Oryzias latipes: one gene and its partners. Each later gene encodes a partner of the first gene's protein in a complex. Links are inferred from orthologs where the notes say so. Each region holds a gene or a part of one and is shown in the gene's direction. Other genes may lie near its edges.

Region 1 (4,374 bases):
TTGGATGACGATGACATGAGGCTTTAGCCGCTTGAAAGTCTCTTAGAAGCAACATTTTATAATAATAGAATCTTGTTTTGTACCTCTTTTAAAAATAAATGTATATATGTGGTGTTAAAAAGTTTGGTTTTGCTTCTCCGATCATTTTTTAAACTATTTTAACATGTTCTTAATGGTTTTTTTAGTGAAAAGTCTGCTGTTTTTAGCTAGTCGTTTTCTAGGACATAGTTTCTGGGAGAGCGGCTAGCTCACTGCCTTTTAAAATCTCCATGTTAGTGCCATTATGCGGCACGTTAACCAATCAGGGACCCAGCTTTGGGTACGTGATGTTTTCAGTGACTCTATCAGTGGATGGAAAAAAATATCTGGTTTGACTGGAGCAATCAAGCCAGCTACGCTACCGGACAGAGTAGTGACCTCCGATGCCCAGGGTCCAGCAGAGCTAGTGGAGCTCTCTATGTCACAGGACATTATTTAGGCCCTTCTGCAAATCTATTTATGCAGTTTATTATTCTGTGCTACAGGCATTGGACTGTGACTACACGATCCGACCTATCCGTTGCATTGAAGTTTTCGCATTTCCTCTGTTTAGGGGATTTTAGCCACCTCATACCTTTGACAAAGCTGTGACATCGACTCAAAGTCATTAGACTTGGCTCACAAATGACTGGTAAGTCCACTGTGCTTTGTTCCGAATTGAAATTTAAGGCTGTGTACAAATTCCTTCGCTATTCACGACTTAGTGCACTACATAGTGCGTTCGCTGCCGTTTGTACTGTCCGGATGTACAATTCCCAAATCGAGTGCCCTAGAAATCTGCCAGAAGTCTGCGAAAAACCAGTGTAGATCAATATTCACTAGATTGGCAAATATAAACATTGCATTTAATTTTTTTTGCGAAAAACAGTTTAAATGTATGTTTTTAATAAACCAACATTTTCATCATTGAACATGTGCGAAGGCTATGCGCAATTGCATGCTTTGCTGTCTTTATATTTTCTGTCACTACTACAAACTTTGTCAAATGGCAGTTTTTCGTGAGCTCCCGATTCACTATTTGAATAAAGAAATACTCAAATGCTATTTTAAACTATATTTAATTTCCTTTTTGACTACTACATTATCAGAAAAATCCTACAAAAACATGTTGAGAACAACATTTTTATCAGAGTGGGTCTTTCAAGGAAAAGAAGTGATAAGTGCGTAAATAAATTTCTGTCAAATGCTCAATATTGTGTTTTTTTTCTTTCCAAAATTTATAAGTTTTTGTCATCAAAATGCCAGCCAACTTTTATTTAGCTCATTCACGTCGTGTAAATTACGTCATTTTAAAAAACATTTTTTTGAACACAAATGTAACCATAACATTGATAAATCACAGGAAAAATTACATTTCTTTTTCTTTGTTTCCCGCTTATTGACGGGAAGGTCCATTAAAAACCCCCATTCCCAGCAGCCCTTGCGGCAGCGCACCGGAAGAGGCGGGACCCTGTGCCGAAAAATGAGGGAAAATAAGAGCATGTCCGAGTCCCCGTCGCAAGCGGCGAAAGAAACACCGGCGGCGAAAAAGCAAAAACTAAGCAGTGACGAAAACAGCAACCCCGACTTATCGGGAGACGAGAATGTGAGCAGCCGGTACCGGACTGTGTGTGTGTGGTTTTTTTTTAAAAACGACGAATGTTTAATCGCGCCGTTCACGTTAGCTTCCTGCTAAATTAGCAGCTAAAGCTAGCATCTTTGTCCGTTTTGGTTAAACACCTGTAGATGTGAAACTCCGTTGATTACAAAAAGCAGCTTCATGGTCACAAAAACAACAAACAAAACTAAAAGGTTACGTACATTTCAGCTTTGGACACGAACATGCTTTACTTTGAAATTAATTTTGTAGCTAGCTTGCCTTAGCACGAGCATCCTAGTGTTTTTCGGCCATTTTATAAAAAAAAAAGATTTCTTCAAGTAAACCTAAGTGATTTCGTCTTCAAATAAGGCTCACACAAACCGTTGTCCTAATTTTTTAGTTAGATTTGAAGTCCTCAACGTAACTAAAAGGCTAAAGCGAAAATTATTTTATATTGCTTGTATTTTTGTTGCATATTGTGTCCTATTTACATGTATTTAGAACTTTAAATCAATACAATTACCTGTAAATTTGAGAAGAGCAACGGAAATTTTGAAACAAACTGTGAAAGATGGAAAATTTTCAATTTCGTTTTGCAGCTTTTATTTTGAAAATTTTCAAATATTGTGCTTTTATTATGAAAAGTGAAATGCATGATGGAATGGATTTGTTTGAGGACTTGTATGTTTCTGAACAAAAAAAACCCTGACATTGCGTGTACAGGACGATGCCGTTAGCGTGGAAAGCGGGACGAACGCGGAGCGCCCGGACACGCCCACCAACACAACCAACGCCCCGGGCAAGAAGAGCTGGGGCAAGGGCAAGTGGAAGTCAAAGAAGTGTCGGTACTCCTTTAAATGTGTCAACAGTCTGAAGGTGAGTCCACCCCCTGCTGGCCAATCCGACGTTTGCAACGCTTTAAAAAACGAACTGACAATAAAATGGCGATTTTCCTCTGACCGAGGTTCAGGAGGATCACGGACAGCCGCTGTTTGGCGTCCAGTTCAACTGGCACAGCAAGGAAGGAGACCCACTTGTGTTTGCCACCGTTGGGAGTAACAGGGTAATTTCTCCCTCATGTTGATCCAATGTTTGTTTTAATCACGCAAATCTGTGCTAGCATTTTGAATCCAAAGATCGTAAAATTGACCGTATATTAGAACTGAACCGAGTCCATGTCCGAACAATTAACAAAAAATTATATAGTGCAGGACTGTCCAGTGCCTTGGATTTTAACGAAATCCGAACACTTGCTAGCTACTTATTAAAAAAAATTATTAAGTACGACGTCACCTATTTCCTCAAGTAAAAAACAAATAAGGATGAACGTTTTACGATTGTTCTGAAGACGAAATCATCGTCCAATGAAAAAATGTACTTTCTCAAATCCAGTTTGTGCAATTTCATAGTAAATGGAAAGGCAGCTAGTGATGTCTTATATAATATAGCAAATAATCATTACAGTTTTGTTTGAATGTTATGCCAAAGCTTGATCAGTTTTTCGGGACCCTAAAGTTGTTTGTTTGTTTTTGTGCAGGTGACTCTGTACGAGTGTCACTCTCAGGGAGAGATCCGACTCCTACAGTCCTACGTTGATGCGGACGTATCCTTCCACCTTCTGCGGTACAAACTAGTCCTTGGTGGGCTCCGGAGCTGGTCGGGGTGCGTGTTGCTGTTTTTATATGAAGCATTGTCGTTTACGACACACTTTGAAGCTTTGCGGGACTATTTTATGTCAAATGTGGCAAACAAGCATGGAGGAAGATGATCACATGCAGCATCAATGTCAGCAAGATGACCAGCCAATTCAATTACGGAAGCTCGTACCTTAAAATTGAATATTTATCTGTAGAAAAGCAACTTTTGTCACTTTCTTTTGGGACCAGCAGATGCGCTTGATGTTCTTGTTTTTTAACGCGACAGTGCCCCCTGGTGTCTGGTTCATCCTAAATATGAATTCTTGCTGTGTTTACTGATCTAGAGCCTATTTTCTGTAGTCGGTCAATGCTTTAGTTCCACTTTGGGGAACTAGGATTGTTGGGCATTATGGGTAGTGTAGTCAGGAGCCTGACGGAGTGATACGTGCACATTAAATAGACAAAGTGCACATGGATAACCACACAATTGACTAGAAAAACATCCCATCAACACCTTTGACCAATCGCCTTCTTCCTGCCCTTTCTACGCATTCTGGGTTGTGTAGTTGTGTCGTTTTTTATTCCTGACAAATGTCTTTCGTTACCTACACAAGAACCACAACTAAAATTAGAGAACATTAATGAGTTAAAGTCGTCCATTGTGATGTCATAGCACTCATGGACCACAGGGCATGGAAGCGTCCTCCACTGACATAAAACTACAAGAAAGGTTGTGGCGGTCTTACTGTTACCGAAGTTAGCCACTGTTACGTGTTAGTAAAGTATTAATAACAGATAATTACATGAATTAACCGGATGAAATACCATGGGCATGTTTTTAAATAAAACTAATACATAATTAATAACTAATTTATAATATTTCCATGTTAAAGTTTCATAAAACTATTGAGTTAATTAACTAAATTGCTGAGTCATTTTTTATCTGTTGTCGGGGTGTATCGCCCTAATCGGACCACACAGACTCTGCAATCCCATCCTAAACTGTAAGCACCTCCCAGCTCCAGAAACTTTCATTGGAATTGCAACGTTGCTATCGGTTTTCCTTGACTAACGCGCTCCCGAGGCGGACGAGAACTTCTACACGTGCGCTTGGACCTA
Region 2 (4,139 bases), on another chromosome or scaffold:
AGGTAACTTTAATTTATTTTTTAAATTGCTTTAGTTGTAGTTTTTATCAGCTGCTTTAGAAACCTTTTCCTCACCAAGTTTTTGCTCCAGATACTAGAAATGTCTTGTTCCAAATCTGAAGAAACCAGTTGCAATAGAAAGTTCAAAAATCAACAACATCACAAGTTTTAAAAACTGATAATGTCTTCACTTCCTAAATTCAGTTTGTTGTCTTTTGACAGTTCATTATCAGCATGTTGCTAGCAACGGCCTACACTGCTTCTAAATTGCCAAGCGTGCTTTGTTGACTGAAATATGACCACTTTCACAAACCAAAAGCATAAATAATACCCCAAGCGGGTGTGGTGTAACAGTTCAGAGCAGAGAAAAGAAACACAATGTGTTATGTGATGTTAAAAATTGTTGTCTTAATGCATGAGGAGTTAGAAAAGTAAAATTATTCCATGACTGGCAGCAGAAGAGTGCCATCTTGTGTCTCATAGAAGTATTGTCTCAAAATTCGGACGTTTATGAACTTTTATCTCCCAAAATGAAGAAAATAAAATAAATGCACAGAGATTATTTATAATTTATAAAAACCTCCACAGAAGTGATAAAATCCTGGAACAAGATATGATGATGTGTTTTTGGTTGAAATTCTGATTTTTAATGTATGTAAGGTTGAATAAACGATGTGCATTAGTTTGGCTTCAAACATTAAAACCTTTACATGCTATGACAGGAGTCTTTTGTTGAAAATCAAATCATAAACATTTACAAATGAAATAGATCCAAGCACTGCAACAAAACGTTAGACCTGTTATTATTTTTGACTGTTGGAAATGTGATTTAATTAAACTATACCACGCCATTTTACTCGTAGAGTATATAAGGTATTTGAGACAATTTTAGAAAAAGAAAAATAAACAGGTCATTAAATATAATAAGATTGGGCTCCCCCTGCCGGAGAAATGTAAAACAGCAGCTAAATATTTAGACAGGTCCAAAGGAATGTTAGAAAACTGGAGGCTGGTTACCAATTAAGTCTTACCTGAAACTCTCACTTACAGATATTTGTATTCTGAAATGAAAGAAAGACTATTTATATTTGGTTAAAACAGTTTTTGCATTTTTTTTTTTTTGTTTTTTGATCGATTGTTATTTCTATTATAGCCACACAGCCCTATAAATTACACTTTGACCTTTTTTAATTGCTTAATTGTAGATACTGAAATAGATGCTGTATTTCCATTTTAGTTTTTCTATTTTTCACCTTGGTCAAAGAAGAGGGGTCATTCATTCAGATGGTACTTCAAGCAGTTGCATCAGTTCCTGTGCGTGTGCGTAATGGCTGTGCCGTTGCTGCTCCACGCTACTTTTTATTCCTAGGGCGCAGAATAGACATAAATCCCAGCTCCGCTTGGAAGCGCTCTGGTCGCAGTAAAGACGTCACCCTCGTGCTCGGGTTGGTTCAACCAAAGTGCGCAGCTATTTGTACGCTCCAACAACAACCTCCAGCACCATGCGTTTGGATAACGTGCTGCTTTCACGGAGATCCTCTCGCCTTCTGGACTCGATATTTTCGTCTAATCCATAGCACAAACGATTTTTTTTCCTTCTTTTTTTTTTTCTTCCCAACGCCGGGATTTGATCGCGTTGCACCAAAATCGGACGTGGATTTTAAAGGTGTGTGACTGCGACACTGGACGTGGGGATCTGGACGCACACACGCGCGTGTGCAGGAAAACCTTCATTGTAGAGGAGTCAGTGCGCAAGTCTTAAAAGTGTTCTGGGTTTAAATGGACACGGTAGTGCGCCACGGTGCTGTGGCTGCACCCTCAGGACGAAGCCCCGCTGCGTATCTGTGGTGGAAACGTGTTTACGCGTGAAAATCAGACCCACGGCGACAATTTCTGAGCTCCATTTTCATATGCTATTCATCTGTCACTGTGTTCAGCTTGTATCTTTGGGGAAAATGTTTGCAGGCGGTTATGAAACACTAAAAAACAGCGCTACGCACTTTTCTGCTCCGCCGAGGCACGCCCACTCTTTAGAAATGTGGGCTAAAAAACCACGGACTTCGTGCTTGCACGCATGCCTGGACTGTTGGCTTTTTTCCGCGTGTTTCACTATTATTATTTTACCCCAAGTATGGCTATAATCATGGGGTAACCTTGAGATTTTAAAGCACCCTTCAAAAGGGCTTTTTACCAGTAGATGGCAATTTTGTTTTGCGAACAGAGGGGGGCGCTGTTTTGCAAAAACCTGCAGCAGTGGCTTATGGGAAAGTGCAAGTGTTCTGTTTTTTTTAAAACCGCCTTCAGGCTTTGAAGATGGAGGAATATTTATAAAAATGAGCTAAAATGGAAAAATACATAAAAATATTTTTTATAAGAAGCTGGTAACAGTTTGCTTTAACACATTCTTTATGGCAGAATTGTGAGTTGACCTTTGACTCATTTGTTTTGCCAGAGTTTGTCCTGCAGTCATGGAGGAAACAGCACATCCTGCCCCTGGTACCAGTGTTGCCCCATCTCAGCCAAGGCCTCCGCCCTGCACTTTTGCCCCGTCCCGCAGCCTGCTGGAGTGGAGGCGGAGGGTCAAGTCAGAGTATATGCGCCTGCGCCAATTAAAACGCCTTAAAAAAGCAGACGAGGTCAAGGTAGATTTAGAGTTGTGTCAGCATCTTCCATTTGAATACTAATAAAGTACTTTGTCCCTGTTTCTCATTCACTCAAACCTGTGTTTGGATTTCTACTGTTTTTATAGACCCTGTTCTCATCCAACCGGGAGAAGATTGAGCAGCAGACTACTGTCCTTAACTCAGAGTGGTCCACGCTTAAGATTCAGTCCATCCCGCTGTCTGTGTCTAATGTAGCACTGGCTAATAAGAAGGTGATGATGTTTAGAAACTGCCCATATATGAGGAATATTGCTCTAGGTTCTCCAAAATGACTGTTTTTCTGGGTTTTCTTTCAGATGTGTTCGGTGGAGTTTGGTTTCCCAGGATTCAAAGCTCAAGCCATCGCCATGAGGCCACTGTCAACAGTGGCAGGGATCCCATTCATGTACTCCTGGTCTCCCCTGCAGCACAATTTCATGGTATGTGAGTGGTGCAATAACTGGGGAGCAGTTTCAGTCATTTTAACTTACCTTGATAACAATGACTCTCTGATTGGGGTCAAATAAGGATCAGCTTAAACACCCACTCCAACAAAAATTGTCTTTTGGGTGCTTTTAACACGTTCATGTGGCATTTTTCTGAGGGCCACCGCTAGGGATTTTGTGCCCCATGAAAATCATTTTTTACAGGGCCTCTAACACAGTGGCAAATATTTTTTGATGCTGTTTCACATGCAATTATACATTATGAAGACATTTTTCACTATCATTGTCATCTTTGGGACAAAATAACATGACAACTGACATGTAAAGAATGGGAAGAACTGAGCAGTCTCAATACAATATTGAAAATTTAAGTTTCAAACTTGAATGAAAAGAAATATATAACTAAAAGCAACTGAAAAATAATATTTGTTTGTAACAGCTGCTTCATTAGAGGAGAGATGACACCGGCCGCGCCATCAACAGACGCTGTTTCGTAGTGGAAATTATGTTACCAGAATCTCTATCACCACATGTCAATCATGCTCCGGTAGCCAATGGGCTCAAAGCCCCACCCCCATGTCAAATAAGGCTTAATAAAAAGAATTGAGGACTGAAAGCAAAGACAGAGAGAAGCGAAAAAACAAAAGTTGAAAACACAAAACAGCATCTATTATAAACAAACATTTATCATTTGGTAACAGTTTTAGGTTCATAGTGTAGGTGCTTTTCTTTTATATTAAAAGTATAAATTTACTTTTTTTATTTTCAATATCTCCTTTAAGTTTTATATATATATATATATATAGAGAGAGAGAGAGAGAGGATTTACAATCCAATTTTTCATTAACTTTTAGCTGATCCAGATTTGATTGAAACTTTATTTTACCAGGAAATCCCTTGAGATAAAATTTCTTTTTTGAGAGAAACCTGTACAAGAGGCATTGGCACACACTCACACACAGCTCTGAGCCTTGCGTCCTTTTTTGTGTTTCTGAAGGTAGAGGATGAGACGTTCCTCCATAACATCCCTTACATGGGCGATGAGGTACTGG
Region 3 (4,334 bases), on another chromosome or scaffold:
GATTATTTCTTTGCCAGCCAGCCAGCAGGGTTCTGGATTGGTCAGCAACCCAGATGATCTGTTTAATTCTGTTATGTTGATGCATATCAGGGAAAGGCCAAGAGTTCAGGAGCAAAATCAGAACCTGATCACATTCATGTTTCCAGGTCACAAACTCTGCCTGCGGGTTTCTGACAAAAACACGAACCAAACATTTGTGCCAAGACAAAATAAAGGTGAGTTTTGCTGCAGAGTTCTGCGTTTGTTGTTCCTCACAGTGACAGAGTACAGATGACGTCTCACACGAGCAGTGACAAAGACTACGTCTGACCGCTGGTGCTCACCTCCACCTGTTTTTGAAGCTGTGCTGCTTGCTGCGCCGTCCTGCCGTCTCTGTACTGCTGGATAGCCAGCAGCAGAGACTTCAAACACGTCGTTGTGTCCATCTTGGGGGACTGTTATGACAAGTGCTAACGCCCGCTAGCAAGTTAGCTCAACGGCAAACACTAGTCGCGGGACAACCAATTTTCTTGCTGTGATTTGAAAAAAACAAACAAACAAATCCCGCTAACTTATTTTAGCACATTTATAGCTGTTCAGCCACTTCACTTTTCTACCATTCATTAATATCAACTAAAGCAAAGCGACGTCCTCCCGCTTCCAGGTTCGAACGAAGAAGGAATGAACCATGTCCAAAAAAGGTTGTTCGGGAAAGCTTTTTTTAACTGACTGGATGAACATCAAATTGCCTTCTAAATTAGTCTGTAGTATATTTTTTATTGAAAGTGGTGTTTTATATAAGGCCCATTAAATCGTCACCATTAAGTTTTCTATATAAACAAACAAACAAAAATTCTAAAAATCCCCCCTCCCCAATTTTATGGATATCACCCGAAGTGATGACGCAACAAGACAGGTAACCAATCACCGTCGTAGAGACATACACACATACAGACACACGCACGCACACACTCAAAAAGTAACAAAATATATTTTTTGTTAAATATGTAAAAAAAATATTTATCAAATGTTTTTTAACTTTTTTGTTACAAATTTTGCAAACTCACAAAGAGAATTCTGAAGTTAACCAATTAAGACATGAAGGAAAAAAAATTGAAAATGACTGAAAAAAATATTTTTCATACTTTTGGACATGAAAACAGCATAAACAATTTCATATTATTTTAGGATTGCTCCTAAATTAATTTAAATGTTAAATGATTAATCAATAATATTTATTATACAAATGTTTTATTGAAAACTTGTATTATAAATCTGTTGTGCTGTTTGTGCTAAACGTTTGTGCTTTATGTAACTGTTGTTTTATATTTTATTTCGTCAACAATTTGGAGAACAAAGAAAACCGGCGCACATGTCCCCACCGCAGGGCCCCAGCGATTCTCTGATTCTTATTGGTTATCAGTGTCGGGCCAGCTGACCTATCGTAAAAGGAGACACTGAAACGTCTAGGATAGACTTCTTTGATTGGTGCAAAGGGTTGGCGCCTCTTGAATCGATGCAAGCAAAGCGGGCGGAAAGAGAGACAGACAGGGAGCAGTTTGAACCGTGTTTGAGTGCAGGCGGAAATATAAAAATAACATCGTTGTTGTCAGGAGACAGATAATGTAACTGCTGGAAACTCAAATGAAAAAAAAAATATATAAAAACGGAATATTTAATTTAGATTCAAACGTAAAGTAAACGTTGTTTTTACCAAATTCGGTGACGTGAAGCCGGTTCTGGCGCTAAGTAAACCGCTCCGTCCCGCCTAGCTAACCGCTAGTTAGCCTACAAGCTAACATTACAGCTAGCAGTGACACGGAGCGGCTAATCTCCAACACAAAGGACGACTTTGCGTATCTCTACCGTTGCCATTCCGAATCTCTCCGTTGAATGAGGACTGAGCCTCCTGTACAGGTGAGGGCGGTTGTCACTGTGTCGAAATACAGCCCTTCCCTAGATCGGCCGAGTTTGTTCTCGGTTTGTGGATCTCCCCGTCTCTTTGTTAACCACCCGACTCGCTAGCTGAGCTCGCCAGGCTGTCGTGCCACATTTTGTATGGCTGTCAAAGAATAGACAGCTCCACTTACATCAGTTTTGTCATTTCTGATGAAGAAAAGTGCTGAAACATTTGCTCCCGGTGTTCTGAATTGATGAGTGTTCAAATGTAGGGAAACATGTCTATTTTTAACTTGAGTTACCGAGCTGTGCGGGCAGAGAAGCACGTTTTACGGAGCTAAACCGAAAGCCGGCTGATAAATGTGTTTCAAGAACCACTTGAGTCGTTTAGCAAGTTTCTTTTGTACAGAGGACAGGGTTACACACTTCAGCGACACAATGAAAATGTGGACAAACACCTGCTCGAAAGGATGCACGAACATTTCTATAATTTGACAACCAGTTTGTGTAATTCTTCCTGGTGGTGGCGATACTCATCTCATTTTATGAAGATGAGGATTGTCTTCAGGAAGTCATGAAAAGCTGTAGAGGATGTTGTGTGATCACCTAGTCTGTGCACCGACAATGAATAAAAAGAACACAGACCACACACACCTCACAACCTTTCAAGTTTAAAGTTCAGTTTTGTGAAATTGTTGATTAAACCTTTGATCATTTGAAACACCCACTCCATTGAAAAAGGTGTTTTTGGTGCTTTGAACATGTTCTTGTTGCATTTTCCTCACGAAGGAGGATAATTTAAACACAATTAACCATAAAACTGCACTTCTGAGTGTTTCTTCATTTAAATAGTTGTGTATCAGGTGCCGATGAGAAATGTCATTGGAAAAAGCTTGTAGGTGTGACATAGGTGCTACAGTAGGCAGGCCAAAGGCTTCCTGCTCCGCTCCATTCTGATGCATCCACCGTCAGATAGATAGATCCATGAACGTCTTTGTTTTCCTCGTCTGGGCTGACATCTGGATCTAAGCTGTACAGCTGGATAGCTCCAATGTTGCTTGCCATTTTTGTTGCACCGGTAATGTTAGTTTGGGGTTATGAGGGGCTGTAAGCTAACAGGCGACAGTAAACAGATGGATGATGGGAAGGCTTATTCCACACCAACAGTCCCGGCCACAACTTAAGAGCTGAATTTCTAAAAAAAAACTGCCGCTCTGCAGAAACTGTCCTAGAAAATGACTCGGGCATTTTGATTTTGGCAAAAAAAAATGAAAATAACCCATCATATTCATGACTAAAAGACCACTGGAAAGGCTTTGACAATCCATCAAAACAATAAAAGGCCTTTTTTTTTAAAGTGGGACTTAAAAATCTGCCTTTTTGTTTGGATAAAGTGTTGGTGAATACCAGGTTTATTGTTTTATTTCCAGGTTTTCGCCTTTTCCTTTTGATCAGAAAGTGCAAGTCTTTTTATTTCAGTTATGCCAACGTGTCATGGCGCTGCTGTTTGATGACAGGTGTCTGACACATCCGAGCTCTAGTGTGAGGTTTGAATCTGATTCACCGATCTGGCAGTAACTGCAGGGGCGGCAGATTGATCTCTATGCAAATGTTAAGACAAGATAAAGAGAAAACCATGAAAATCACCATAAACATTATTTTGACGAGTTAAAAACATTTAATTTACACCTCTGTCTTGTAGATCTTCCTTATTAAGAAACAGTAAGCAGAGAATAAACATTTAGAAAACTTGTAAATAAGCCTTTTATCTTCTTTGAGTGAAATCCTATGAGCTGGAATAGACTAGTTTTATTTTTTATTCTCAGGATTACAGTTGGGACGAAAAGAATCAGACAAAGCTGAAACTCGCAAGAATTTTAGCGAACGTCACCTCGCTATTTGACTTTGACCCTTCCTGCCTGAAAAGCTGATGGGATTAAATCTACACAGATTTTGTGTGTACTGTTGCAGGACTGTGTGTGGCTGCAGGCTGATCATGGGGACGGGGAAACGCTCAGACAAGGGTCCTGCCTGCTGGAAGAGGAGGGTAAAGTCTGAATACATGAGGCTTCGGCAGATGAAACGCTTTAGACGGGCAGACGAGGTCAAGGTTTGTACTCAAAGGTCTTCTTCATTTTGAAGCGGTCTTTATATTCATGTTAACACTGTTTCACGTTGATTATTTTTCTTCATTTTGTTGAAAAAATCTGTTATTCAAAAGTCCTGCAATAAAACTTTCGAGTTGAACAGTAATTAAAAATAATATTACTATCCAGATGGAGGGCGTTGGTGATCAGCATCTGACCTGCAGCTGGAAAATTGTAATGTTTTATTTAAATTATTTATATTTTGAATCATTGTGTGCGTTTCTAGATGAGTTTCAGACGCCTCAGTAGAGACGGCAAACAATTCTGTCTTATTGAATGATGTTGCGTGTTTTTGTTTCAGAAAGAAGC
Region 4 (3,618 bases), on another chromosome or scaffold:
GGAATGCGGTTTTGAGCAATGAACCTTCTTCCTGCACATCATTTTTGTTTGGAGTTTTTGCAAAAGAGATGTGTGGAAGCTGATTTCTGTCCTCCTCCTGCAGGTGGCTGTGAAGTGGACCTGTCGCGCTTTTTCCAGCTCATCAACGACATGGGGGGCATGCAGCAGGTGATGGACCTGAAGAAGTGGACCAAGCTTGCAGACCTCCTGCGCATCCCCAAGTCCGCGCAGGACCGGCTGGCCAAGCTGCAGGAGGCCTACCTCCAGTACATCCTCTCCTACGACTCACTCAATGCCGACGAGCGCCTTCGACTGCTGGCAGAAGTGCTGGAAGACAAAAAGAGGCTGGAGTCGCGGCGGGGCCCCCTGGAGGGCCTCTCTGACTCCTCTGCACCCAACGGACTCTCGCTGCCCCGCTACGAGCCAAAGAACGGGCTGGTCGGCGGGATCGTGGGAGGGACGACCGGGCATCACCGCACCAACGGAGTCTATCACTGCTTGAAGGAACTGAAGGCTCAGGTCAAAGCGGGTCGGCGCCGGCTCTTCGCTCAGGAAAAACAAGGCAAAGAGGACAGGCAGCACGGGGAGGAGCCGCACTCGGGGCAGGAAAATGGGGGCTTGTTTGGCGACCAACACAAATGCATTTACAAGGTAAGGAGGAAGAAGCCGCGAAGGTTAAAACCCCAGATGAGAGGCAGATAGAAGAATGTCCGTTCCCTGGGTGTTTCCTGTTATGCCTGTCATGTGACTTTAAGTCAATAAGTGCTGCTAACACCTCTTATTGTCATTTAAAGGTGAGCAGTTTCCATCAACGGCAGGGAAGCATCAGTGGACGTTGCTTCCCCATAGCCTCATTTGCCTGAACTTTACTTTTTAGTCTAATCTTACTGATCAGACACACTTTTACACCGTCCACTAGTTTCTATTTTTTTCTATCCTGGCATTTTTTATCAGGTTTTTGCTGAAAAGCCCGTTGAGCTCGCTGCTTTTCGTCTGTTTCTTTTTTAACTGTCTGAGCTCATTCCGAATTGAGACAAACGTGAGGTGAAGTCCACCTTTCCTCAAATGACATCAGCAGGCCCCGCCCACAGCACGACTCTTTAACTTGTTAAGGAAACCCATTTGCAAACCTGAAAATAAGATTTATTCCACTGATAGTGGAAGTCGGAGCACCAAGGGTTCATTGGCGCTCTGACTTTACGCCCCTTTACACTTCCTTTCTTAGCCTAGCATCCTCTTGTGTGCATTTCAGTTCTATCCCATCAACTCAGAGGTTAAGGTAAAATAACCTACTTATGACTGAAACTGTATATTTTGCCTACTCTTTGATCAAAAATTCAGTTTTTTATGCTTCATCTGACTGTTTTTTTTGTCTTACTATATGAGATCGGAGCAGCTGACGCGCTGCTGCGGTTTCAAATCGTTCCAAATGTTCAGCAGAAGGTTTGGTTACCGAACAAAAAAAAGCAAAAAAAAAAAAAAGAAAAGAAAAAAAACAACAAAAAAAGAAAAAGTGCAACAAAAAAAAAAGCATTTCACTTTTCACTTCACAACATAGTGTGTCTTATTTCCTCATGAAGTGGCAGCAGCTTGTTGTGTCTTGAGGCGGTCTTCTCCGGCGATCCTTCGGTTTTTTCTTCAGCGCCTTTGGTCTTCCTCGCTCACACGTGTCGCGTTCCCATCATCACGTCCTGTGGGCAGCTGTGAGGATCTGGCCAGCTGAAATGTAGGTCAGAAGCCCCCACCCCACACCTATCCGACAGCCCCGCCCCCATCCCCAATGCTAACCCCCTTCCACTCTGTCTCTATGCGTTAGCTTCCCGTTTCTACCCGGCAGCCCTCCCTCCTCGCGGTTTCTCCATCGGCAGATGACCTCGCTCTTTGTCGCCTCTCATCACTTTAACCCTAAACGCCTTTTCTTTCTCTTTGGAGATGACTTGTTTTGGTGTAAAGGCGCGGGGATTTGAGCGGAGGCTGTCAGTCACTGCGTGAAAGCGGCGGCCATGTTTGTCTGCTCCTGTGGCTCCTCTCCCCACACACCCAACGCCCCAAATCTGAGGCTCTTTTGATTCCAGTCTCTGTTGCTTTGGTAACGCCCGCCCCATTTAATAGAGTGAGTCGACCCGGAGTGATCAATAGACCTGTGAGGGACAGAGTCACACGGGAAGGGCCGTCCCACCTGGACAGGACAGGACAGGCTTGTCTTTAGTGTATGAAGGTAGAGTTTCACTAACTGCAAAACAGAATGGTAAGACGGTAAAAAAACATCCTTAGTTTTTGCCTTATCAAGAAAGTCTGTCAATAGCAAAATAATCTTAGTTCGTGAAAATCTTTCTTAGGTAAGACCTTTTTTGTTAACCCCATTGGCAGATTTGTTTTTTGCCTATTTAAAGCAAATCTACTTCTGGGTTAGAAATGTTGGACTTGTTTCTGTCATTGCAGTGAGGATAGCGTTAGACAGTGCAGGAGACGGTGTTGTTGGTGCTGAGCGGTCAGCTTGCTGTAGAAACGGACACGCGTGTTCCTCCGTCTGGCAGTGAAGGAGTCCATTGATGTCCAGCTGTCTTTTTTTAACTCATTGTTTTATTCAGCTTCAGCTCTTACTTTGCAAATCCCATCAACCCCCTGATCATCATCCCTTCCAGTGTTTGACATTATGTTTTGGTTGCAGGGGAAATCTGTGTCCTTGACCAACTTCTTCAGGATAGCTCGCAACACCATGACCATGTGCTTTAACAAGGAGCCGGGGGCCGCCGAGGTCGAGGTCAGCGCCCGATGTTTGACGTGGTCGTGGACTCGCCATCTTCCCCTGAAGTGAGATCGGTGCTAAAATCATGATTTGTATTTTCTTTTTTCTGTCTTTCAGCAAGAATACTGGAGGATTGTAGAGCAGAGAGACTCCCACGTGGCAGTGCATTGTGGGAAGGTGGACACGAGCACACACGGCAGCGGTTTCCCCACAGGAAAGTCAGAGCCATTCTCAAAGTGAGTGTCGTGTTTGAGGCGCCGGGCGTGGCGCCAACGTGACGCCCTGAAGCACAAACGCAGGACAAATCTCTGTTTTCTGTCTTCTCAGACACGGTTGGAACCTCACTGTCCTCCCCAATAACTCTGGATCCATTTTGAGGCATCTAGGTGCTGTGCCTGGTAAGGATCGGCCTCTCTGTTCCAAAGCACTCTAAACTTTTTGAATTTCTATTTCATGCCTTTATGAATGGCGCCTAATGCTTTGCTGTGTCTTGTGTCTTTGCAGGAGTGACTGTTCCCTGGCTAAACATTGGCATGGTCTTTTCTACCTCATGCTGGTCTAGAGACCAAAACCGCCTTCCATATATTGATTACTTACACACTGGTGCTGATTGCATTTGGTAAGTAGAGTTGGTGCTTCTGCTCTCCTCTCATAAAGTCCTCAGCTAAATGGTTTTTGCCGTCCTGGCAGGTATTCTGTCCCTGCTGAGGAGAAGGCTAAGCTGGACGAGGTGGTCCACACACTGCTTCAAGCCAACGGCACGCCAGGACTAGAAATGCTGGAGAAGAACATCATGGTGACTGTTTTCTCCAGCTTTTTCTTTGGATCCTGTTTGAAGTTGCTGCTTCGGTCGATGACCGCTGTTCTTC

Evidence for each region.
Region 2: the proteins of eed (region 1) and ezh1 are in contact, whole or in part, in a cryo-EM structure (PDB 7KTP), measured with the Homo sapiens proteins. The link is inferred for Oryzias latipes from reciprocal best matches to the Homo sapiens genes EED and EZH1. Residues at the interface, in NP_003788.2 of Homo sapiens: Cys84, Val85, Asn86, Ser87, Leu88, Lys89, Glu90, Asp91, Trp103, His104, Ser105, Lys106, Glu107, Val112, Arg120, Leu123, Tyr124, Gln129, Gly130, Glu131, Ile132, Arg133, Leu134, Leu135, Gln136, Ser137, Tyr138, Val139, Asp140, Tyr154; in NP_001982.2 of Homo sapiens: Gly37, Ala38, Lys39, Leu41, Tyr42, Val43, Asn45, Phe46, Lys48, Val49, Gln50, Lys52, Thr53, Gln54, Leu56, Asn57, Glu59, Trp60, Leu63, Arg64, Val65, Gln66, Pro67, Val68, Gln69, Ser70, Met71, Cys83, Thr84, Ile85.
Region 3: the proteins of eed (region 1) and ezh2 are in contact, whole or in part, in a cryo-EM structure (PDB 8VMI), measured with the Homo sapiens proteins. The link is inferred for Oryzias latipes from reciprocal best matches to the Homo sapiens genes EED and EZH2. Residues at the interface, in NP_003788.2 of Homo sapiens: Val85, Asn86, Ser87, Leu88, Lys89, Glu90, Asp91, Trp103, His104, Ser105, Lys106, Glu107, Asp109, Pro110, Val112, Arg120, Thr122, Leu123, Tyr124, Glu125, Gln129, Gly130, Glu131, Ile132, Arg133, Leu134, Leu135, Gln136, Ser137, Tyr138; in NP_001190176.1 of Homo sapiens: Arg34, Glu37, Val38, Lys39, Met41, Phe42, Ser43, Asn45, Arg46, Ile49, Arg52, Thr53, Ile55, Leu56, Asn57, Glu59, Trp60, Lys61, Arg63, Arg64, Ile65, Gln66, Pro67, Val68, His69, Ile70, Leu71, Glu82, Cys83, Ser84.
Region 4: the proteins of eed (region 1) and jarid2 are in contact, whole or in part, in a cryo-EM structure (PDB 6C23), measured with the Homo sapiens proteins. The link is inferred for Oryzias latipes from reciprocal best matches to the Homo sapiens genes EED and JARID2. Residues at the interface, in NP_003788.2 of Homo sapiens: Pro95, Phe97, Tyr148, Arg306, Asn307, Tyr308, Cys324, Asp362, Ile363, Trp364, Tyr365, Arg414, Asp430; in NP_004964.2 of Homo sapiens: Pro109, Gln114, Arg115, Lys116, Phe117.

Annotation. Positions count from the first base shown.
Region 1 is NC_019860.2:2,259,965-2,264,338, reverse strand, and holds the start of eed (polycomb protein EED), read left to right. Parts: upstream 1-1,474; 5' UTR 1,475-1,501; coding exon 1,502-1,624; intron 1,625-2,341; coding exon 2,342-2,494; intron 2,495-2,582; coding exon of another isoform or gene 2,583-2,588; coding exon 2,589-2,681; intron 2,682-3,155; coding exon 3,156-3,221; intron 3,222-4,339; coding exon 4,340-4,374. Other genes in the region: periodic tryptophan protein 2 homolog, read left to right, coding at 1-27. UniProt on the Homo sapiens protein: Polycomb group (PcG) protein. Component of the PRC2/EED-EZH2 complex, which methylates 'Lys-9' and 'Lys-27' of histone H3, leading to transcriptional repression of the affected target gene.
Region 2 is NC_019866.2:6,666,046-6,670,184, forward strand, and holds the start of ezh1 (histone-lysine N-methyltransferase EZH1), read left to right. Parts: upstream 1-1,330; 5' UTR 1,331-1,665; intron 1,666-2,451; 5' UTR 2,452-2,467; coding exon 2,468-2,635; coding exon of another isoform or gene 2,636-2,641; intron 2,642-2,748; coding exon 2,749-2,874; intron 2,875-2,958; coding exon 2,959-3,081; intron 3,082-4,084; coding exon 4,085-4,139.
Region 3 is NC_019878.2:3,254,683-3,259,016, reverse strand, and holds the start of ezh2 (histone-lysine N-methyltransferase EZH2), read left to right. Parts: upstream 1-1,497; 5' UTR 1,498-1,896; intron 1,897-3,849; 5' UTR 3,850-3,874; coding exon 3,875-3,988; intron 3,989-4,154; coding exon 4,155-4,199; intron 4,200-4,334. Other genes in the region: protein CIP2A, read right to left, coding at 324-425. UniProt on the Homo sapiens protein: Polycomb group (PcG) protein. Catalytic subunit of the PRC2/EED-EZH2 complex, which methylates 'Lys-9' (H3K9me) and 'Lys-27' (H3K27me) of histone H3, leading to transcriptional repression of the affected target gene.
Region 4 is NC_019869.2:23,737,175-23,740,792, reverse strand, and holds part of jarid2 (protein Jumonji), read left to right. Parts: intron 1-103; coding exon 104-651; intron 652-2,671; coding exon 2,672-2,764; intron 2,765-2,866; coding exon 2,867-2,985; intron 2,986-3,076; coding exon 3,077-3,147; intron 3,148-3,253; coding exon 3,254-3,368; intron 3,369-3,439; coding exon 3,440-3,545; intron 3,546-3,618.